Styela clava: one gene and its partner. The protein of the gene in region 2 interacts with the protein of the main gene of each other region in a pairwise test. Links are inferred from orthologs where the notes say so. Each region holds a gene or a part of one and is shown on either strand. Other genes may lie near its edges. The genes, in order: axin interactor, dorsalization-associated protein-like; PIN2/TERF1-interacting telomerase inhibitor 1-like.

Region 1 (10,059 bases), on a different chromosome or scaffold from region 2:
AAATAAATATAACATCAGTATCAATATGACCATTTTAGCAAATTGAATATTTGATAAATAATTTTGATATTCTACTTTATAATTAGCCAAAGCGAGAAAAAAAAATCATTCACAATGACTAGACAGAATTTAATATTCATTCAACAATTCACTTGAATTACACAAATATTTGAACTCTTTTAAAAGCTTGTAAATGTATTTTGAGAATACTATTTTCTGGTGTTAATCTAGAGATAATATACCTACTTCTAGACATTTTTTCAATGCAAATTTGTATTTCAACATCAATGCCAAAATATAGGAATGTATCGTCTCTTTTTGCAGCTGTGGGTGTCTTTTGTGATTGACATAAATCAACACCTGCAATATCTGTTAAGACAAGAGAAAAAAGGGATAATACACAGATTAAGTGTAATGAAATTATTGTGGTATGGCCTTATAAGTGTTTTCATCTGTATCTGTGATATATCAATCGCTACACTTACAATTCTTACACCAAATGGAAAAAAATTTAAGGAGGATGTCTGCAATTGGTGAGAATAGTATTGTTTGTGACAGATAAAGCGATATTTCAGAAATAAAATAAAAGGTTTCCATATCCAGAACAAACATTTTGAAATCATTCAACAGTTTTCAATAATTGTCAAATTCTAATATAGTATCAATAATTCTTCAATATGGATCGGTTTTCACCAGTTTTTCGGTGCGTAAAAAATATCTTCTCTCAGTAATTGATGAACCAACTAATTTCAAAATTGAAATTGAACAGTGACTGAAGATTGAAGTAGAGGTCTAAAAACTTTTATTTTCTTTCCGCATACTCAAATAATATGTGAGATAATCATCTGTAAGAGGATTACTGGACTAATTGCTGACTTGAAGATCTACATGTAACCACTTGCATCGTGGCCCCCTTCCGGGGCTTTTAGCACTCATGACACCCCTGTTTATCATTCCAGTGATATTTCTAGTGTGATTTTGATTGGTAGATTCTAAATTCCATCATGTTCGAACAATCAATGCTCAACGAAGTGAAAACACTCTGTGAAATAACCTTATTAAGCAAAGAAACTAGAAAAAACGGGGAGTTTTCTTGTAAAGGGAAAAGTAAAATCAGCTTGTGGCCCTCCTCCAACTGCCCTGTGGCCCCCGGTCGAGAACCGCTGGCTCAGAGCTTCCCCCAGCAATAATGCATCTAAAATTTAGTCCTGCTTTTTACTTGCAGTAAAAAAAATTCAGGATTAGGTGAGCATGTTAATCCAATGTAGAATGAATACTTTTCCATAATTGGAGAATTCAATTGAAATTTGGAATATTTTATGATTCACTTATATATTTATAAATGGAACAGAATATTACTAGTCATCACCTTTACAAGATACGACAAAGAAGGGATCGATATGACTTGAAGCATCTTTCAAACCAATTTTTTCAATCCGAACCGTCACTAGTGTTTCATTTTGATCAGCAATTAATCTTGGAAGAAGTGAATTGACTGGAAAACAAATTTGAGCAAATTCAATGGAGATGTAAGAAAGTTATTCCAGACATTTTTGCATATTGAAATTGCATACATTGTAATGTTCAAAAGTAGACTTTAAACTTCAGTATAGAAGACCAATAACCATGGATCAATGTTAACATAGTGTCTTCAAACTTTATAACATTTAGAATTTCATGAAATAGGGGGCTATAATATATTGAATACCTTATATTTAAAAATATTATGAAAAATGAATGCTGTTCGAGCTGGTAGCACTTCTAGTCATAGATTGGAGCAATAAGTATTTCAACAAAAAATTGGAGAAGTTTAAACAACAAAATTATTCGTTAGCTTTTTCTTTCAAAACCTTGTTTTCAAGTTTTGCCCTAATGATTTAAAGCCTTCACAATATTGGAATAGTCTCATGGAGTTTACTTTATGCCTAACATGATTATCACCCATAATAAAATTGAAAAGAAATTCCATTACAACTAATATCAAACATATGGTGAGCCTCATAGTGGAACAATGCAAAATTTAAAAAAAAATCCAAATGTATTTTTATATTATTACATAAACATTACAATAAAACAGTACAATACAACAAGTGAGATGATTATATCATTGTCATTTCAATAAAATGGTAAAAAGCACAAAAAATAACCAATATTCACATGAGGATGTTGCGAGTTGCGTTACTGATTCTTCTTCTGGATTTGTTGACACAGGTTCAGGTGATGGTGTGGTTACTAATCTGAACATTCATAAAAGATTTGACTTATTTCACGAGTGATTTTCACTAATATTTTAGACTTTATTTTCTATAATCCTATCAGAGTTTCATTTTTAAGAAACTCTGAGATTTCACAAAATTAGTTTTTGAGTTTGCGAAATATTACCAATACATAACATTGCACTGTTAATTCAAATTTTATATAATGTATCGGTATATAATTATTACAATATGATTCACTCACCTTAGACCTTTCATCTGACGATTTATTTCCTCTGGTATTTCTGGTTTCTTACTCTTCAGCAAATTTTTCATTACTAAAGATAAGATAAAGAGTAATAAAATCAGCATTCGTTCATTGTTCAGCTCTCATCAATGGTAGGTCACACCTACACAGGTTGTCAGCACTCTATTGATCAGGGTTTTTTCTAACAGGGCCTTCAGCTCTCTAGGATGGCATTGAGTGATTCTCTGGGGGCAAAAGCCTTTTCTTCATTTCAGCCTTCAATTTCTGAAGAGTCTCTAAAAAGGGGCCATGATCATGAAAGTTTGAGAACTTCTACACAAGATAGATGACCATTTTTCATCATTTAGAGTAACTAAAATAGTCTAAAACCATTCATCTGATAGAATCAATGCATATTGATGACAAAAACCAACTATGCCATGTGTAACCTGATAGCACTGGAACATAAAATATTTATGAGAATAGCTACATGATAATCAAAATCAACAAAGCAGGTAACAAATGACATGATTCAATGTATTACTATCACATAGGGTAATATGTAATTATCAATGGCCCATTTCATGATATAAAAATGTCATTGCCTACAGTTCAGAAGAATATTTTTCATCAACAACATATTTTGATCATAATTTATCTAGAATAATCAGGGGCAGACAATAATGACTACTACAAACCTTCTAACAATTTCTTAATTTCTGCTAAATCAATATCTGGAGGTGATTTCATCATTTGCAATGATTTTGCTCGAATTTCCAAGCATGAAGCAACTTTTCTTATTATTTTCTGTAAAACCAAACGTAATTATTACTTATGAGTTGGTGAACAAATTGTGTTTTATGAACTTCTAATAAATTAAATAAAGAAATGATAAACCAATAAAAAATGCTGTATAATACCCACTACATTGCCATATTGAATTATGATTACATATGTGTTGTGATAGGCATTCATGTCTGTGTAATTGAATCAATATTTTAAACTTCCCAAAGTCGAAAGTCGAAAACAAAATTTTTCGAAGTCAATAAATCAAACTTTGGATGGAGATAATCAGGAACTCAAAATGTACCAAGTTGACAGAGCATCCCCAATAGGCAATTACGAAATATTTGTTTTTTCGGTAAAAAAGTGAGTCATAATTTCCTTTATCCTGAAGTTGGACCTTTTTTATTGAGTGTCAGGGATTTTTTAAATGGCTCAATTCAAGAGTAAGGAGTTGTTATTACCTATAGTATTTATCAAAAAGTCATGCATGCTGCATGCTTTGTTATGTACGAGTGTAAACTTAATCAGACTGAACCTAATATATTGGTTATTTATTGAGTAACGTTTCCGCTTATAATCCAGATAATCAAACAGTATATTTACAAATACAACAGACATCTCCTGATTTTTGAGTGCCCCTGGTAGAAGTGATAGTTCAGTATATCACTTGCCATTGCAAGCATAGAATTTTCTCCTTTGGTTGATCGTTTTAACTATCGATTTTAACACAAAGTTCTAACTTTAGCAAGCCTTGTGTGTTTTTTGCTATGTGATTCTTATCAAAGATAAATATATATTTATGGGGAATAATAGCTTACAGATTTATCTTCATCAAATGTTTTTTGATCAACTGCTGTTGCAGCTTTCATCATTCGTGCCAATCTGCAAAGTAGAACAATTATCAAATAAAAATTGTATTGAAAATATGAATTGAAAATCATTTATCCAATGTTATTACTCACTAGAAAGAGTCCACAATCAGACTATGAAAACAAAACTGGACATTTTACTTCAATTTTTCCAACTCATTAACCTACCTTGAATATTCATCCGCTGCTTCCACTAGTTGTCCCCAGGAATCAAAATCTGTTGCTTGTTGAAATTTTTGATTCCAAGTGCCAACCAGTTTTTCAATTTCAGATTTTGACATTATGAAAAAAATAGGCTTATTTCAAATATCGGTAATTGAAATCCGAAATAATGGAACCCTGATATACTATACTGATTTTCAGACAAGCAGAGTCTGTTGTAAAACTGATCTATAAAATTAGTCTAAATAAGTGAAGCCAAATTTAGCCAAAGAGAAATATTTTAGATGAAAGAAATAAAATGTCATCTAAACTTGGTCATTATTCGGTACGGTATCTTGCGGGAAGATGGGAAATTACATAACACTGTTATATGCAATTCTCTCATATTTTTCACCAAAAATATTTCAAACGAGTTAATCAATCAATTTTATTTTGGTCACTCTGAAAGAAACGAAACAACAACAAACGGACAAACAAAATGCAGAGGAACTGGAGGACGGGCATAACCACATCAAACATATTTCAAACAAGTTAATCATTTTATAGGCACATATGAATCGAATTTGTATGATTAAAATATGAAGAACACATATATTTTCATAATGCTGCTAAGCCTCTCAAGGAATAATCGAGTGAACAGCCCTTTATCGCAATAATTATAACTAACAGGCGCGGCGGTGTGGCTCAACGGGCTAAGCGTTAGGAATACGCTCGCCACCGCACCTCTAACTACTCTGCGTGGGTTCGCAGGTTCGAATCCCATGCAGGGATGGTTATGTGCGAGAGGATTGCTGGACTCCTCGCCGTCGTTGGGTGGTTCACCTAACCGCTGGTCGGTTACGGCTTCCTCCACCACCAAGTCCATGCTTCCGAAAACAAACAATACAGTAAATCTAATCCCATACCCGACTTGGAATGGTAACCGGACGAGAGGCCGTGGTTCGCCATATGGATAAGCCGTCTTATCGGCTTTCCTCTCCCCCGGGATAAATATGTAAATCCTATCCTATCCTCCTATCCTAACTGGCAATTAGCATTCGGCATTACTGCATTACGAAATCGCGTCAACTACACTGCAAAAATTGAAAGGGGATTCCCCCTTTTAGCAGTCCGTGACGTCATAACGAATGGATTTCGTTATTCATTCGTAACGACTAACGACTCATCAGCATTTCACAATTTAACCATTACATGTATCACGGTAAACCAACGACTAACATACCAGAGTAAACTGATTGTCGGCGATGTTCTGACTTTTGTCAAATGAAACGTTACAAAATAAAATTTGTGAAAGTGTGACGCCAGATATATTATAACCACTCTATATGGCCGTTTTGATTCTTGCTACAATACCCTTGCATACGAATCGACAAACAACTATTTTTTTTTTCGTGGCCCATTTTTGTTGCCCAAAAACTTTTTATTGCAAGGAGAAAACAACAAGAAAATCAAGATCTGTCTGCTAAAATGGACTCTCAAACGTTCATAATTAGTATGGGAATTACCTTCCAGTAGTAGAGAACAGCATCGTCATTGATTGCTGCTACAATCAAAAGTAACTATTGTGACATAAATGAAACTAGCAATTTCTAATAGTTCTGTGGCCAACCTCTTTGGCCCAACAGTGGGCCATGGCAGTTAAGCTTAAACTGAAATTCGCCAAACATGCATAATTTAGAGTTTTATTTGACCTTTTTTAGTTACATTCCCAAATCTCATCATTCGACAGTTTGGATGAATGTCAGTGCAGCTGCGGCATTTCGTAAACGAGCCACAACAAAGTCGAAATAGAACATTTCGGAATCCGCTATCAATAAAATGATAATTTGAAGTTGCAGGTCGTAACGTTTGCATCTACAAGTATGAAATTCAGATGTCTCGCAAAGTGAGTCACACAACCACTTGATCAAATGTGTATATTATTTCTATAGCATTTGTGTGTCTGGGAGATAAATATGAAATCCTCATCTATTTCGATTTGTCATCCCATTCGTACTCCAGTTGGCGATGAATTTCGCATACTGAACTGAGCTGTTTTTGTTTTATATTCAAGATAGTTCTTATTGGACCGAGTAGTACCAAATTGAATATAATAGTTACAGAAGGATAGCAAAGGCACGAAAATCGATCGTCGCTACTAACATCCATCAGCCTAATATCAGTAACTCCCAATTTGGTTTCCGAAATGCACATTCTACAGAGCTTGCTGTAGTCAAACTAAAAGAATCAATATTGAATAATTTATCAGATAATAAAGTAACTTGTGCTATTTTCCTAGATTTGGCAAAGGCATTCGATACGGTTGACCACACTATTTTATTATACAAATTGTCCCATTATGGCATACGTGGATTGCCACTTAATCTAATTCGATCTTATTTAACGAAGCGTCAACAATTCATTGAATCGAATGGTTACAAATCTTCCCTTCAATATGTATCTTGTGGAGTCCCATAAGGTAGCACTCTTGGTTCCCTACTATTTTTAGTCTACATCAATGACCTTCCTACTACCAGTGCGTTCGATACCACACTATTCGCTGATGATACAGCTCTGCTTGACTCTGCCACAAATATTGTAGATCTCCAACATGCAATGAATTTGAAAATAAAGCAAATTGACCATTGGTTGAAACTAAATAAATTGTCGCTTAACTATTCGAAAACAAAATTCATGGTTTTTGGGTCTGGGAAAAATATAAGGTTTGAAAACTTTAAATTAGAAGTTGGCACAATTAGCTTGGAAAGAACAAGTACTATAAAATATTTGGGAATAGTTCTGGATGAAAAACTTAATTGGAAAAATCACATAGATTACCTTTCGAAAAAACTTTCTCAATCACTTGGAATGCTTTATAAATTAAGGAGATTTGTAAATCTTGAAACCCTTAAAATAGTTTATAATAGCCTGGCCTTTTCACATCTTCGATATGGTATATTATGTTGGGGTAACGCGACAAAAACTGCTTTAAGACCCCTCGCCGTTTTACAAAATAAGATGATTAGATGTATGATGTACCGAGAGTCATCTAGACAAATACGTATAAATAATGCAAAACTGTATCATCATTGTGAATTTCTTCAATTGAAAGAACTCTACATAAGTGAAGTGGGAAAATTTATGTATCGTTATGAAAATGTGCTGCTGCCAGAGTATTTTCAAAACTTTTTTGTCAAAATTTCAAATATCCATCCGTATGAGACCAGGAGTACATCAAATAAATTGTATTTCACCCCGCGATATCAATCTTCATGCATGAAGAAATCGCTCAAGCTGGAAGGTATTAATGTATGGCAAAGTATTCCACAGAGTATGAAACAGTGTTCCCCACAATTATTTGATCGCAAACTAAAACAACATTTATTAGCGGATTATAATGTGATGCAGTGACGTTCAAATCTCAGTGTATGCTATCAGATTCATAAAATGGATAGGAAATCACCATTTTATAGATGTATGTCTCTGTGAAAATTATTGAAGATACTATTATATATAGTCTGAAGTGTTCATATGTACTATATGTCTATATAGCTTTGGAAATATGGTATTTTAAATTTTTCACCCATTCATAGAAACTGCCTCATTTCCTCATTTTCACTATTTGATTTTTGTCGAACATAAAGTAAAATTAAATTTGAGGAAATTATAATTAGGCTTACGCCCTTCTTAATTTTTCACTTCTTTTCGCATTTTATTTACTATTAAAAAAAAGTATAACCTGCATAATCATGCGATGTTCTTTTTTCTTGTAATTTTCAATCTTTGATTGATACCACCCTATTTGCAAATTAAAACAGCATTTCAGCGGATCATAATATGATGCAATATCATGCAAATCTCAGTGTATGCTATCAGATTTATAAAATGGATAGGAATTCACAATCTTATATATGGATTCTTCATATGTCTTTGTGAAAATTTTTGAAGATACTATTATATATAGTCTGCAGTAATAATTATATGTACTATATAGCTTGGGAAGTATGATATTTTTAATTTTTCACCTATTCATAGAAATTGCCTCATTCTCACGATTTGATTCTTGTCTATCATAAAGTATAATTTTTGTAATTAGCCCGACGCCCTTCTTATTCTTTCTCGCATTTTTAATTACTATTGAAAACATGATCTGCGTAATCATGTGATGTTCTTGTTCCTTGTAATTTTTATTTCTATTCAAATACTTTCTCGGGGAATTGATTTCTGGGGCCTCTTAACCGGGCTTAAAACTCAAAAATTTATATTTCTTCTATTGTAATTATGATGCCTGCTTTAGAGTGTCCTGTCTTGGTAGAATCTTACCTTAGGGGTCGGTCGACCTTGTTAGTCTTGCCCGTCCCCTTCCGTATACATTTTTATGCGTATTGTTATTTGCTCATGCCTATTGTATTATGTACTTGTATCGGAAATAAATCATTATCTATCTATCTAATAATATTATCCAGATTTTATTTTGTGAACCTTTGCTCATATGTCTAGCATGGATTCTCGTTATGAGGCAACAAATTATTACAAAAAAAGATGAACTGCTCACGCACGTCGTAAACATTCTTTTTTTATTTCATAATAAAAACATTACATTTATATAGACACAATAATGCATAAATATCATTGCACTTAAACATTCTTATCACACCAAACTGAAATGCGCCCGCGGGATCTATCCTTCTCGAGGACGCGGATTGCATTGATTATTATTAGGCAGAGTTAGTATTAGGCGTTGTTGTAACATCACGCCTCAAGTTTGGTTCAAGCAATGGTCTTCTTTTCTGGGTATTACATTTTTATCATTTTATCACGATCAAGTTCTCACTCCCGCCATCGCAGTGTTTGTTTACTACGTACGACACGAACACGCTCAGCGCCCGCGGGTGAAGCGCATTGCATCATTGTTTTGATCATTGTGCAATGTCAGCTGACGTGACTGAGTTCATGTCCTGGGACCAATTACTGCCGGCCTTGCTTTTTATTGGCCAATCAAAATGGCTACCCTGGCTCACGTGAGATGGCGTATCATGAAATCACCGCCTCTTTGTTGATCAAAACAAACCCGGTCTTTGTTATGAGACAGCGTTGCGCCGGCCGGGACGTGGAAACACGGGAAACCAGTCAAGTTCGGGCAGCTGGTTAATTAATAAGAAAAAATGGATTAACGATGTAGGATTAGTACAGTATTATCAAATTTTTATATCAGTGCGGTGTTAATATGATTAGTTTTGAGTTCCTGTTTTTTTGAATTGTGTGTTACCGTATTCTGTTATTAGACCTGTAGACGTATTGCTGTATTGTATTGACAGTTTGATGAGTAACGACCGAACGAGACCGTCTAATTCTGTAATTGCTATCTCATGTCGCAACAACCAATGTGTACCGGTACGGTACGTTTACGAACGGTACGGTATATCAGTATATTTCTGTGTTTTGCTCAGCACTTTACTGCTTTAGCAGTTCAGGTGATGCCATATACCAGTACCTGGTATACTGAAATATCTGTCTGCCGGTAGCCATAGACAGCATTAACCTTTTGAAAATGATACAGACATCTATTTTGTAATGCAGTACCGTAATGTTACGGTCTGAGGTCTGACGGTAAATTACAAAATTATACTGACAGAAGGCTGGTAGAGGAAAAGGAAAAATTATTGGTGATGGTTAATTTTATTTGAATATTTATTGAATATGTGAGTTTCAAGATACCAATAATCGAATATTTAATTTTCGATCCAATATTTAGATATCAATGCAATGAAGATATGGGCTATGTCAAATAAAACCGTACTGTACCTAATACGTGAGACAT
Region 2 (10,354 bases):
TGGTACTTTAGTTTAGTAATATTTTTATTTTGACCTAAGAAGTCGCAACCGCGAGTTACGCTGCACACAATTAAATTAATATATAAGGACATTTTAGAATCTCGTGGCTCTCATGGATCGACAGAAAAAACATTATACGCTTAAATAGGCGGCTCTTTTAACTAGCGCGTAATCGCGGTGCTTGTTGCAGACGGCAATGGGATGTTCCGACCTCAAATTTGTTATTTTCTGTTTGTTAGCAAAAGCCGTGGGCTAATTCTCGCGGAATTCAAGAAATTGGTTCAGTGACGCGCAAGTTCCGTGTCCGAGCAAAGCAGCCTAGGTAATCGATATATGAGTAGCAAAATGACATGCTAATACTTAGAGAATGACATCGACAGGTTACTGTTACGTGACGATACACGGCGCGGTGTTTTTCGGTAGGCGATCCAATTTCGCCCCCCCAAAATTATGGAAAGTGTCCGCCCCTGTGCCCACCACCTAATGAATTGTTTTTACTACGTTACCTTCTTTTTAATTGCAGCCATTCTTAGTGCAAAATATTCTTGCACACTTATTGTAGAAGTTACATGATTGGTTGCATTATTTTTTGGGGATTCTTTTTCAGTAGTTTTCTTTTTTTTTGATTTCTTCTTTTTCTTGCTTTCTGGGCAGGATGAAGTGCTGTCTGCATCAGATATTTCATCCTACATGAATCAGAAATAAAGATTTCGCGATCAGCAACAACACAAAAAATCAGTGTTTCCAAAATTGATAATATTTTTATGTTTGAAGCGAATTTGATACAAGAGAATTTTCTTTCAGATATAAATATCGAAAATTTTTTAGGTTTTTATCCATTATAGTACACTTACTCTGAATTAAAAAAGCCAAGAAACATATCAATGGCCCAACCCCAATGTTTAAAAAATAATCACCTCTGACAAATTGATAGGTGTAACAGGCTCACTCTTGGATGCTGTTTTTCCAAATATTGCTGCAAGATCAGTCTCTTTGTAATTGGAAAGGTCTTTACCTAGAAAATAACAACAATCCAGTGTGAAAATGGTGTGATAAAATGGATAGTCTATGCCGAACTGGGAAGATTAATTTCCTTTCAAATAATAGTAGCTACTTAAATATCCCGAGATATCAGGGCCTTGTTTTGGGGCAAAAGGCACGTTTATGACACTTGAAAATTAGCTGATATATTATTCTTCTCTATTTTTACCATACCTCTTGCAAATTTGTGATAATGTACTCTCTTTTGTGATTTAGATTTCTTTTCAAGGCTGGAGACACCTGTGGAATAAACAAAAATGATGTATATATATAGGGACGATATAATATAACGATCTTATCAGCTTCTATTCTTCTTGACAAAAATAAGAAAATCTAACTTATTCTAGTACTTTATAGATTACCTCTATCACTATTTTGGCTAGCAAAGTTAATTTTAAAACTTGTAGCAAAGGTGAAATGGGTAGCAATGCATTGTGTGGCATGCGACCTTGGATGTTTTGCAAATTTTTTTCTGCCTTCATATTACAGCAAACAAATTACTGGTTAACTTGATCACATTGTTTTAATAGGAAGGCACATTAGTACAAGTTGCATAGAAAATGTTTGAAATAGAAATTTTTAATAATAAAAATGACCTGTTTTGTAACATATCATGATATACGAATATACTTCAATTTTATGCGAAAATGGAAGATTTCGAAGTGTTATTGTGAAAAGTGATCTTGTTTGATCAACATAGATTTTTGAATACAACAAAATGGTGTAAACAAAACTCATAAATGATATCAAATTTATAGTTGGTCATGAAGCAAGACTGCAATACATTCATTTTTTTCTGATTTTTTTTATCCCATCTTCAAATTGCCATACAAGTATTGAGGCAAAGTGATTGTTATTTATAGTACATAATCTCAAAAATATGAATAAATAATTAAGTTCTCGAATATACCATTCATGTTTTTCACGTCAGTTTGATCGGAGTGATGATTGTTCAATTGTGCTAGTAAATCTGCAAAGTCATCCTGATGAGCAACCCAATTTTGCTGTCAAATAGGAATTCAAATGAAATATTCAAAATATAACTATTAAACATTATAGGGGTTCAATTATTGTATTAGCTTTCCGGAGAAAGATATAAACATGTGATTTGGTGATCTACTAGTCTGAATATAAGTTACCTAAACCTTCATCCTGGGACTGGCACCCTCCGCAGTGACTAACTACTCTAATTTTAACTATAAAATGAATGAAATTGTGAACCCACTTCTTGCTTTATCGAACATCCAACTCCACGATTATCATTTTTATGTTTAATTTTAATGTGTGCGATTCTCCCATCTTCATTCGCTCCCAGTCCCTGAAATATTTGGGAGCAAAGTAAAGAAAATGCTATTCATTACAGAAGATTGCAGAATTATATCATTCTATGATGATACTAATACGGGTCTTACTACTTACTGAATACAGCGCGAAACACCGCAAAGAGCGCAAAACAGCGCAAAATAGCGCGAAGCAGCGCAAAACAGAGGAAACCAGCGCGAAACAGAAGGAAACCAGCGCAAAACAGAAGGAAACCAGCGCAAAACAGAGGGAAACAGCGCAAAAAAGGAGACGCAGTCATTACCACCTCCTGCCACGAAAGAACCACGGCGCCTCTCGCCATGGTTTTATGGCGCTATTTCCGGCATATTTACAAGGTTATGTACCGGATTATAGGTCATCATGCGAAATTTTATCTACCTTTTTGGTGCTCCAGAAGTATGTGCAATATGTCGCACAACCAGAATCCGCTACACACACACACACACACATACAATTTCAGGTTGTGCGCCATCTTGGTGCACATACTTCTGGAGGTCCCCTTTTACCTAACCCTAACCCTAAAGCCAACCATATCCATATGGAAAATGTTCTAAATTATGGTACCCAAAATGTGTCACCAGCAGGGGCATACCTGCCATTACAGCATTACTGACTACATACGTTGGTTTGTGATTTTAATTTGCTGCCGTGGTACTCCAACTCAAAACAAGGTGCCCCGAACTCATTGCAAAATTTTTTTCTGCTTCACACTGTTTCCCTCTATTTCGCGCTGTTTTGCGCGGTTTCCACACTGTTTTCCTTTGTTTTGCGCTGTTTCGCGCTCTTTGCGGTGTTTCGCGCTGTATTCAGTAAGTACAGAAGTAGTAAGACCGTACTAATACTGCTGTTTGCATTTTCATCATTTTTGCAATAATACACAAAAAACTATTAAAAGTTGAACCAATGAAGTTAGATAATGGTAATGGAGTAAAAGGAAAATTGTTGATTTGATTCACTCAATAAAGGTCTCATCGAATTCTAGCACTGGTATTTACTATCGACGGCTATCCATCACTTTACACAAAATACACCTTCAAAACCAATTATCTATTTATGGTGGCATTATCACTGAGTCAATACGATAGTACTGTACCTATAGTACGGTACCGGTAACGATATGGCATATTCTAGTGCTGTAGTGCTGGTTGAAGTCAAAAAAATTATTAAATTTGTATACACAAAAATCATGAAATTGCAGAAAGAAAGATAAGCAGTTGACTGTGACCATACGGTACCGTACCTTGCCTTTGGTCCAACCCATTCTTTCAAGCATTTTCACACCAAATTTGTTTTCGTCTTTTGACCAGTTTGTGCCATTTGGGTCTATTGACCACTTTTTCTTATCTCGACCTGAAATATAAAAATATGTTAGAACGTTTAGAAGTTCAACTAGCCAAGACTACAATACACAAATCAAACAAATGCTGCATTTCATTTTCAAAAACTGGTTCTCCTCCAAGGTAAATCCTTACTGTACCTGTACCTACGGCACTGACTTAATTAAGTATATTTAACTAGGTCAAATGCTGGTACCCGGTACGCCGTTGTTTCAGTGTTTGTTTGTAGCCAACGCTAGAAATGAACATCACATGAAATTTTCGCTGAATAGCAAAAATCTACTTACTTTCTGCAAGCATTGACATGTTGTGAATCCCTGTCAGTCCTTTCGCTTGTTACAATCAACAACGCCGAAAACTAGGTAAAACGGACTATTTCGTGGACGTCCGCGCTTGCCAGCATGTGGTCATTGACTGTGCAGCGCTTCACATGTGGTTCGAGTCGTTTTCCGGTTACCTAGCATATTTGAAATCTGATGGTCTTGTTCGATTATGTGACTTTTATTATTATTATGATGATGCCTTCAGACACAATAAATTAGTGGAAATCATAAAAACGATCATTAAGTCAGCAGAGTTGGAACAATTACATTAATTCAGTTCAATTACAATTATTTACTCCCTTAAATGTTTCAATTACATTACAATTCCTCTGTGCAAAAAATATCAAATTACATTTACAATTATAACATTTTGGTTCGTATTCACATTTTCACTTGCTCAAAAACTGTCTGATTGCGCTTGATGAAGATTAGACAGCAAAAAGTTTCTGACCCCAATAAATTTCTTCTTGCCGTATAAAAGTTAAAAAAAACTCGTACTGACGAGGCTGCTGTTGCTGTTAGTCCCAAATAATTCTTGGCTAAAGAAGCAAGCGTGGGAAATTCTTCTTATTTATTTTCCAATACATTAATGAGTCTTCATCAAATTGCAGATTTTTTTCTCCCAAATATCTATCTACTTCACTTGATTTCCTTGGTCTTTTCTTTTTAAATCTTCTGCCATCGCTGAGAAGAAGTAGTCTAAAAAAATGACTTGTTAGGTGGTTGGCTATGATCAACCTTAGCCTTCATCGTGTTTTTCTGGTGTTTTCTTTTGAAATTCATATATTTAGGATATAGATGGGGATAACATCTCTTCAAGTGCGTGATCAAGTTTGACGAGCTTTGGTTGAGAACTTAACTTTCTTTTTGCAGTGATTACAGCATGCCTCAGTGCTGCTCAAAGATTTAAAAAAAAACTGACATTGGTGCAGGAAATGGTTCAACACAGATTTCGGAAGAGTTTGTTTGATGTTCATCTTTTCTTAAAATACCAAGATTTAGTCTATTTGAAAGTGTAATTGAGCCGAAATTTGAGCAAATTACAGTTACAATTACACAGAATGAAAATGCCTCCATTACATTACAATTACATGAAAAACTGTAATTAATTACATCAATTACAACTGATCCAACTCTGTAAGTCAGTTCGCTGAGTTGTCATAAACAAAGAGAAACATGTTTCATCCCCCGTGTTTCCCCGAAAATAAGATAGGGTCTTATTACAATTTTCTTTCGAAATATAACACTAGAGCTTATTTTTTATCAAAAACAAAATCACAAAGTAGAGAATTACGAGATTTCCCAATATACAATTGAAAACCAATATTCATTTACCTATAAATTACACGTTTTAGATAATCAACGTGTAGGGAAGATTCTTGTTGAGGACTAGGTCGAAAAAAAAATCGCGCCATCGACTAGGTCTCTCTCTAGGAGGGTTTATTTTCGGGGAAACATGGTAACTCGCTAGGAGGCGGGGGGCATGTCCGAATTGCACTTTAAAAATGCACGAGATGCAAGTCTGGGCGTGTTCCGAACCGACCGGAGGATAAATTGAAAGAAAAAAAAACGACGATCAAAACGTTCTGACGGGACATGGCATCGCAAAAAAATTGAGAAGGATTCACCTCTACCTTTGACGGAAAAAAACAAGATGGCGACGATTAGAAATGCCCAATCCTAATAGCAACGATAAAAGTAATACTGAGTACTGACAATGATAATAAAGAGGCATTGGAATTTCCATCGCTAGTAGGTATAAATGGTTAAAGTGATACATCCGCTAACCGTCCTGGCATAGGTGTCTTGATATTTATTTTTGCGGATCCGCTTACAATGGAAACATCTCGTTAAGTTTTGGGTGGCTCTAAAAAGAGCCGTTGTGATTGGCAAAACTTATAACAGCTTATTTGGAGCTGGTGTACTTTGTCACGGCCTTGGTTCCCTCAGAAACTGCGTGTTTTGCAAGTTCACCGGGAAGAAGCAAGCGAACTGCGGTTTGCACTTCGCGACTGCTGATGGTACGCCTTTTGTTGTAATGCGCAAGTCGAGAGGCCTCGCCACAGATTCTTTCGAACAGGTCGTTTACGAAAGAATTCATGATGTTCATGCTTCTCCTGGAGATGCCGGTGTCTGGGTGAACCTGCTTCAGAACTTTGTAGATGTAAATGCCGAAGCTTTCTTTGCGCTTCCTTCGAGCTTTCCTGGCATCCTTTTTGGCATTGACTTGTTTCACAACCTTCTTTGCTCCTTTTGTGGGGGCCATTTCCGCTATACGTGTTTGTATAATCAAAAACGAAGTATGACGGTAATCGGAGACATGCCTTATTTATAGGCTTTGGTATGCAAATTAGGGGTATTCTGAAGATTTGCTGAACTTTTCCCCGGGTGGTTTACGCGGCCGATAGTAGTCTTCGCCCACGCACATCTACCTTGAATGTTGTTCTTGATAAATATTTTTTTCAGGTTCGCGAGACATAGATTATTTCGATCACTCTATTTGTTACACATAAGATAAAATATAGAGATTTCTAGTTGTCAAGCCAAACCTCGCATCGAGTTCACTTACAAACACAAAAAACGCATGTAAACTATAAAGGATCAAATATCATAACAATGAAAAATACACGAAGATATCGTTTGGGCTGTTGTACATTAGAAACTTCATAACTAATAAGTTAAATTTTATCAATTAGCATCGTTATGTTTCCAGTTTTGGTTAGAATTGTTCAGCCTGCAGACGAGCACATCTAAAATATGCGTACAACTCGCATATAACTTTAATGAACTAAGACCATCGCACCAACTTAATCCAGAACCCTTGGCTGCTTATTTAAATTTTAAAATAAATCCGAAACTAAGCCAGTCAACCATTATGATATAATCTAAAGTTTTCATGTTCTACACTTTTGTTTGAAAAACTGTAAATAATAATATTGACTCTAGGAATTACAGTTCGAGGTTCAAGTATCAGTTGGGCTATAAGCAGTGGTGGGATTCAGCCGGTTCGCACCGTTTCTATAGAACCGTCTCACGGAATTTTATGAGATCAGCATACCGGTTAGCATTATTTAAAAAAACATGTAACAGAACCGGCCGAAAAATATGATTTTTGTGATGGAACCGGCTGACAAAAAATTTGAATCCCACCACTGGCTATAAGTTATAAAAAATAACCGACTTAAAAAAATTATAGTGTAGAATAGAGATGTACCGAGACCACTTTTGTCGCCGATACCGATCCGATACCAGCTAAAAAGGCCGATACTGATACGCCGATATTCAAAAACGACCGATATTCCGATATTATGTAACTATTAGGCTACCTCAAGTGTAATTTTTACCTTTCAGCCTTATTAATAGTGCACATTATTTCGGATCAAAAAAGAGTAATATATATATTTATATACATATCACACACATTAAGTAGTATTAAGAAGTAGATGTTTGAGATCCAAATGCGTTAATTGATTCAGATGCACTGGCGCTAGTAATCTCAGTGTTCAAATAGATTTATTAGAAAACTAATAGAATTTGGCTAATGTTGGTGGTAAAACAAATAAATGTTCAGCCTACTTACCGTATGAAACTGATACATTGAGTTACATGCGCAGGAAGGATTTTGTGCCAATATAACGTCATATTTTATATTTTAAATATTGGAGCATGCACTAATATTCGATCGATATATTTTTTCATAATTACCATGTAATATTAAAAATTTTGATATAAAAATTTGGCAGTGAAATTACTAAAATTGATTGAGCCAGTTTTGCTAATAAATGGCTAAAAACAGGTCAAAATCCGATTCCCGTTTCTACTAGCCGGGGTGGGGACGTGCATGGCTCATAGTTCACGACCTATCCAAGCAAAAAATAATTTCAAGATTAGTATTTTAACCTATTTTTTAAAACATTCTGGATCATATTATTGAGAAGCTAAATATATCGGAAATATCGGTCTAAATGTAGCCGATACCGATGCACTACCGAAAAATTGGCCGATACATCTCTAGTGTAAAATCGCGTGTCAGCAAATATCAATCCACGCGAGACTTAAAACAGCAGTTCTTACCAGTATGACATGAAAACAACTAGGAAGAGAAACTTAGCGCATAACTTCTCTGGGTCTGGCCAAAGCGTATATATAATATGAATTACTGTTCAAAAAAGCAACAAACCTGGTTAAAATATATTCAGGACTCACTTCATAACAAAATTAAAATTGTAAAGACTGTTACGTCACGATCCACAGGATCCAAGTATTATTGTTTGGCAATAATATTGTTGCCACGTGTAGGCGCTGTTAAGTCGAGTTCGCCGCCATTAATGGATATTGCACCATACTTTGCTGCTGTTTTGCTGCCAAGTCAAGTTTTTAAAGTTTCTTTGTGTTGGTATTATTGTGATTTAATTATTGCTGTTTATTGTGTTTATCTTGTAGATGACTTAGACATCTAAATTAGTTAGTAAGTGGATCTATTGGGTTGTTGCCCTTGGTGTTAAGATATTGAGCCGTACATTTGTTACTGTGAAGAAATTGTACTGATGTTTCCAGAATGTATTATGCAATGATTTTTGGGTAAGAATGCTAGTACTTTAAGTTGCATAATTTGAAGTTCACTGATGTATGTGTTTTCTTACCCGGTGTCATAAATATTATCGGTATGTTATTTATATTTGGATCATTGCTGAATTTGGTATTATTTAGTTTTATAAGTGTTCTAAGACATATTATTTTGTTTTAGAAAACCGTCTTCCATCTTTCATTTCCGTCTATTGTGATGTTTGTGTATTGCTGAGCATTTCATGTTATGCTTCGAATTACAATTTCATTACAAGTTTTCAACAATTGGTTGTGTTTGGACAAGGATTTGGGAGATGCGTTTTCGATTTGTTAGTTTTTCCTATGTGACGCCTTGTGCTACCGGGTCACGTTGAAAGGGAGGTTACAAAGACTTTATGGATACTGTGTATTAAAATTTTCCGCGACGCCCTAAGCGCGACTCTTATCGGGTCTTACGATCAAAAACGGCATTGTTATGCGTGCGCGCCGCTCCTCTGATCCGATGTATTCTATCGAAATCGTGACATTTATGTTTCGCCTTAATTTTTTAATTGTGGTTCGCATCAAAAGTCTAAAAAAGTACAATATATATGATACTTTGTGTGAAACTAGTGTACTCCTTGCGACGCCTAAAATTTATGGAAGCCATGAGTGCTAAAAGCCTCTGGAGGGAACCACGGGCTATAAAAGGTTTGGAACCACTGCTATACACAGTTAGGGTACGCTTCTTGTGGGGCAATCGGAATCATCTCGCACTATTCGTGTACCACCTGCTCAGGGAATTTTAACAAGTATATCGCGCTCATCTCCATTAGTTTTAAACTGTGAAATTGGCGATCAAGCGTTTCCATGCTACTTATTTCAACCTCTCGCGACATCCAAATGCATAATTCATGCGTAAATGCCCAGTTTCAAAGCCATTGCTGGGTCTGGCGAAGTAAACGCCGTAATTTCTAAGACGCCAAATAAAAATCTGATGCGAAAGGAGAGCCGAGTAAATACGGCGTGTAACGTTACTTCTTTTGGAGAGCAGACTACTGGTATTAATAGGCAGGCAATATCAATCATTGTTGTTCCAAAAATCGGATTAACAGCTTGTTAGATTGTGAGTGGCTCTGAAAAGAGCCGTTGTAATTGATAATCAGGTTTCTGTTTACTTGGAGCTGGTGTACTTTGTCACCGCCTTGGTTCCCTCCGAAACGGCGTGTTTTGCAAGTTCACCGGGAAGAAGCAGGCGAACTGCAGTTTGTACCTCGCGACTGCTGATGGTACGCCTCTTATTGTAATGTGCAAGTCGAGAAGCCTCGCCAGAGATTCTTTCGAACAAGTCGTTAACGAAAGAATTCATGATGTTCATGCTTCTCCTGGAGATGCCGGTGTCTGGGTGCACCTGCTTCAGAACTTTGTAGATGTAAATACCAAAGCTTTCCTTGCGCTTTCTGCGGTATTTCCTGGTGTCCTTCTTGTTAGGGACCTGCTTCGCGACCCTCTTTGCTCCCTTTGTCGGTGCCATCGTAGTTCCTCGTGTTTGTAATATGTGAGACGAAGTGTGCTGGGTCAGGTTGACTTAGGATATTTATCCCATTAAATATGCAAATTAGATGAATGAATTGATGTCGATACTGCGCGAACTGCTATAGTTCATGACGTAACAATATACACGAATCCGTTAACCAATCGTATCGTAGCAGACGTGAACAAATAGCGCAGTGTAAATATTAAATTGGAAGTCTTCTAAGCAGACCTAAACGAAGTGGCCAAGGT

Evidence for each region.
Region 1: the proteins of PIN2/TERF1-interacting telomerase inhibitor 1-like (region 2) and axin interactor, dorsalization-associated protein-like interact in binary tests that used the Homo sapiens proteins (3 or more experiments, as listed by UniProt). The link is inferred for Styela clava from reciprocal best matches to the Homo sapiens genes PINX1 and AIDA.

The regions. Positions count from the first base shown.
Region 1 is NC_135251.1:23,633,907-23,643,965, reverse strand, and holds the start of axin interactor, dorsalization-associated protein-like, read right to left. Parts: upstream 4,532-10,059; 5' UTR 4,379-4,531; coding exon 4,266-4,378; intron 4,111-4,265; coding exon 4,047-4,110; intron 3,250-4,046; coding exon 3,141-3,249; intron 2,534-3,140; coding exon 2,461-2,533; intron 2,238-2,460; coding exon 2,158-2,237; intron 1,496-2,157; coding exon 1,370-1,495; intron 370-1,369; coding exon 247-369; intron 1-246. UniProt on the Homo sapiens protein: Acts as a ventralizing factor during embryogenesis. Inhibits axin-mediated JNK activation by binding axin and disrupting axin homodimerization. This in turn antagonizes a Wnt/beta-catenin-independent dorsalization pathway activated by AXIN/JNK-signaling.
Region 2 is NC_135264.1:9,952,975-9,963,328, reverse strand, and holds the start of PIN2/TERF1-interacting telomerase inhibitor 1-like, read right to left. Parts: upstream 4,147-10,354; 5' UTR 4,008-4,146; coding exon 3,989-4,007; intron 3,715-3,988; coding exon 3,605-3,714; intron 2,360-3,604; coding exon 2,267-2,359; intron 2,046-2,266; coding exon 1,952-2,045; intron 1,282-1,951; coding exon 1,216-1,281; intron 1,016-1,215; coding exon 918-1,015; intron 687-917; coding exon 507-686; intron 1-506. Other genes in the region: histone H2B type 2-F-like, read right to left, coding at 5,931-6,290. UniProt on the Homo sapiens protein: Microtubule-binding protein essential for faithful chromosome segregation. Mediates TRF1 and TERT accumulation in nucleolus and enhances TRF1 binding to telomeres. Inhibits telomerase activity. May inhibit cell proliferation and act as tumor suppressor.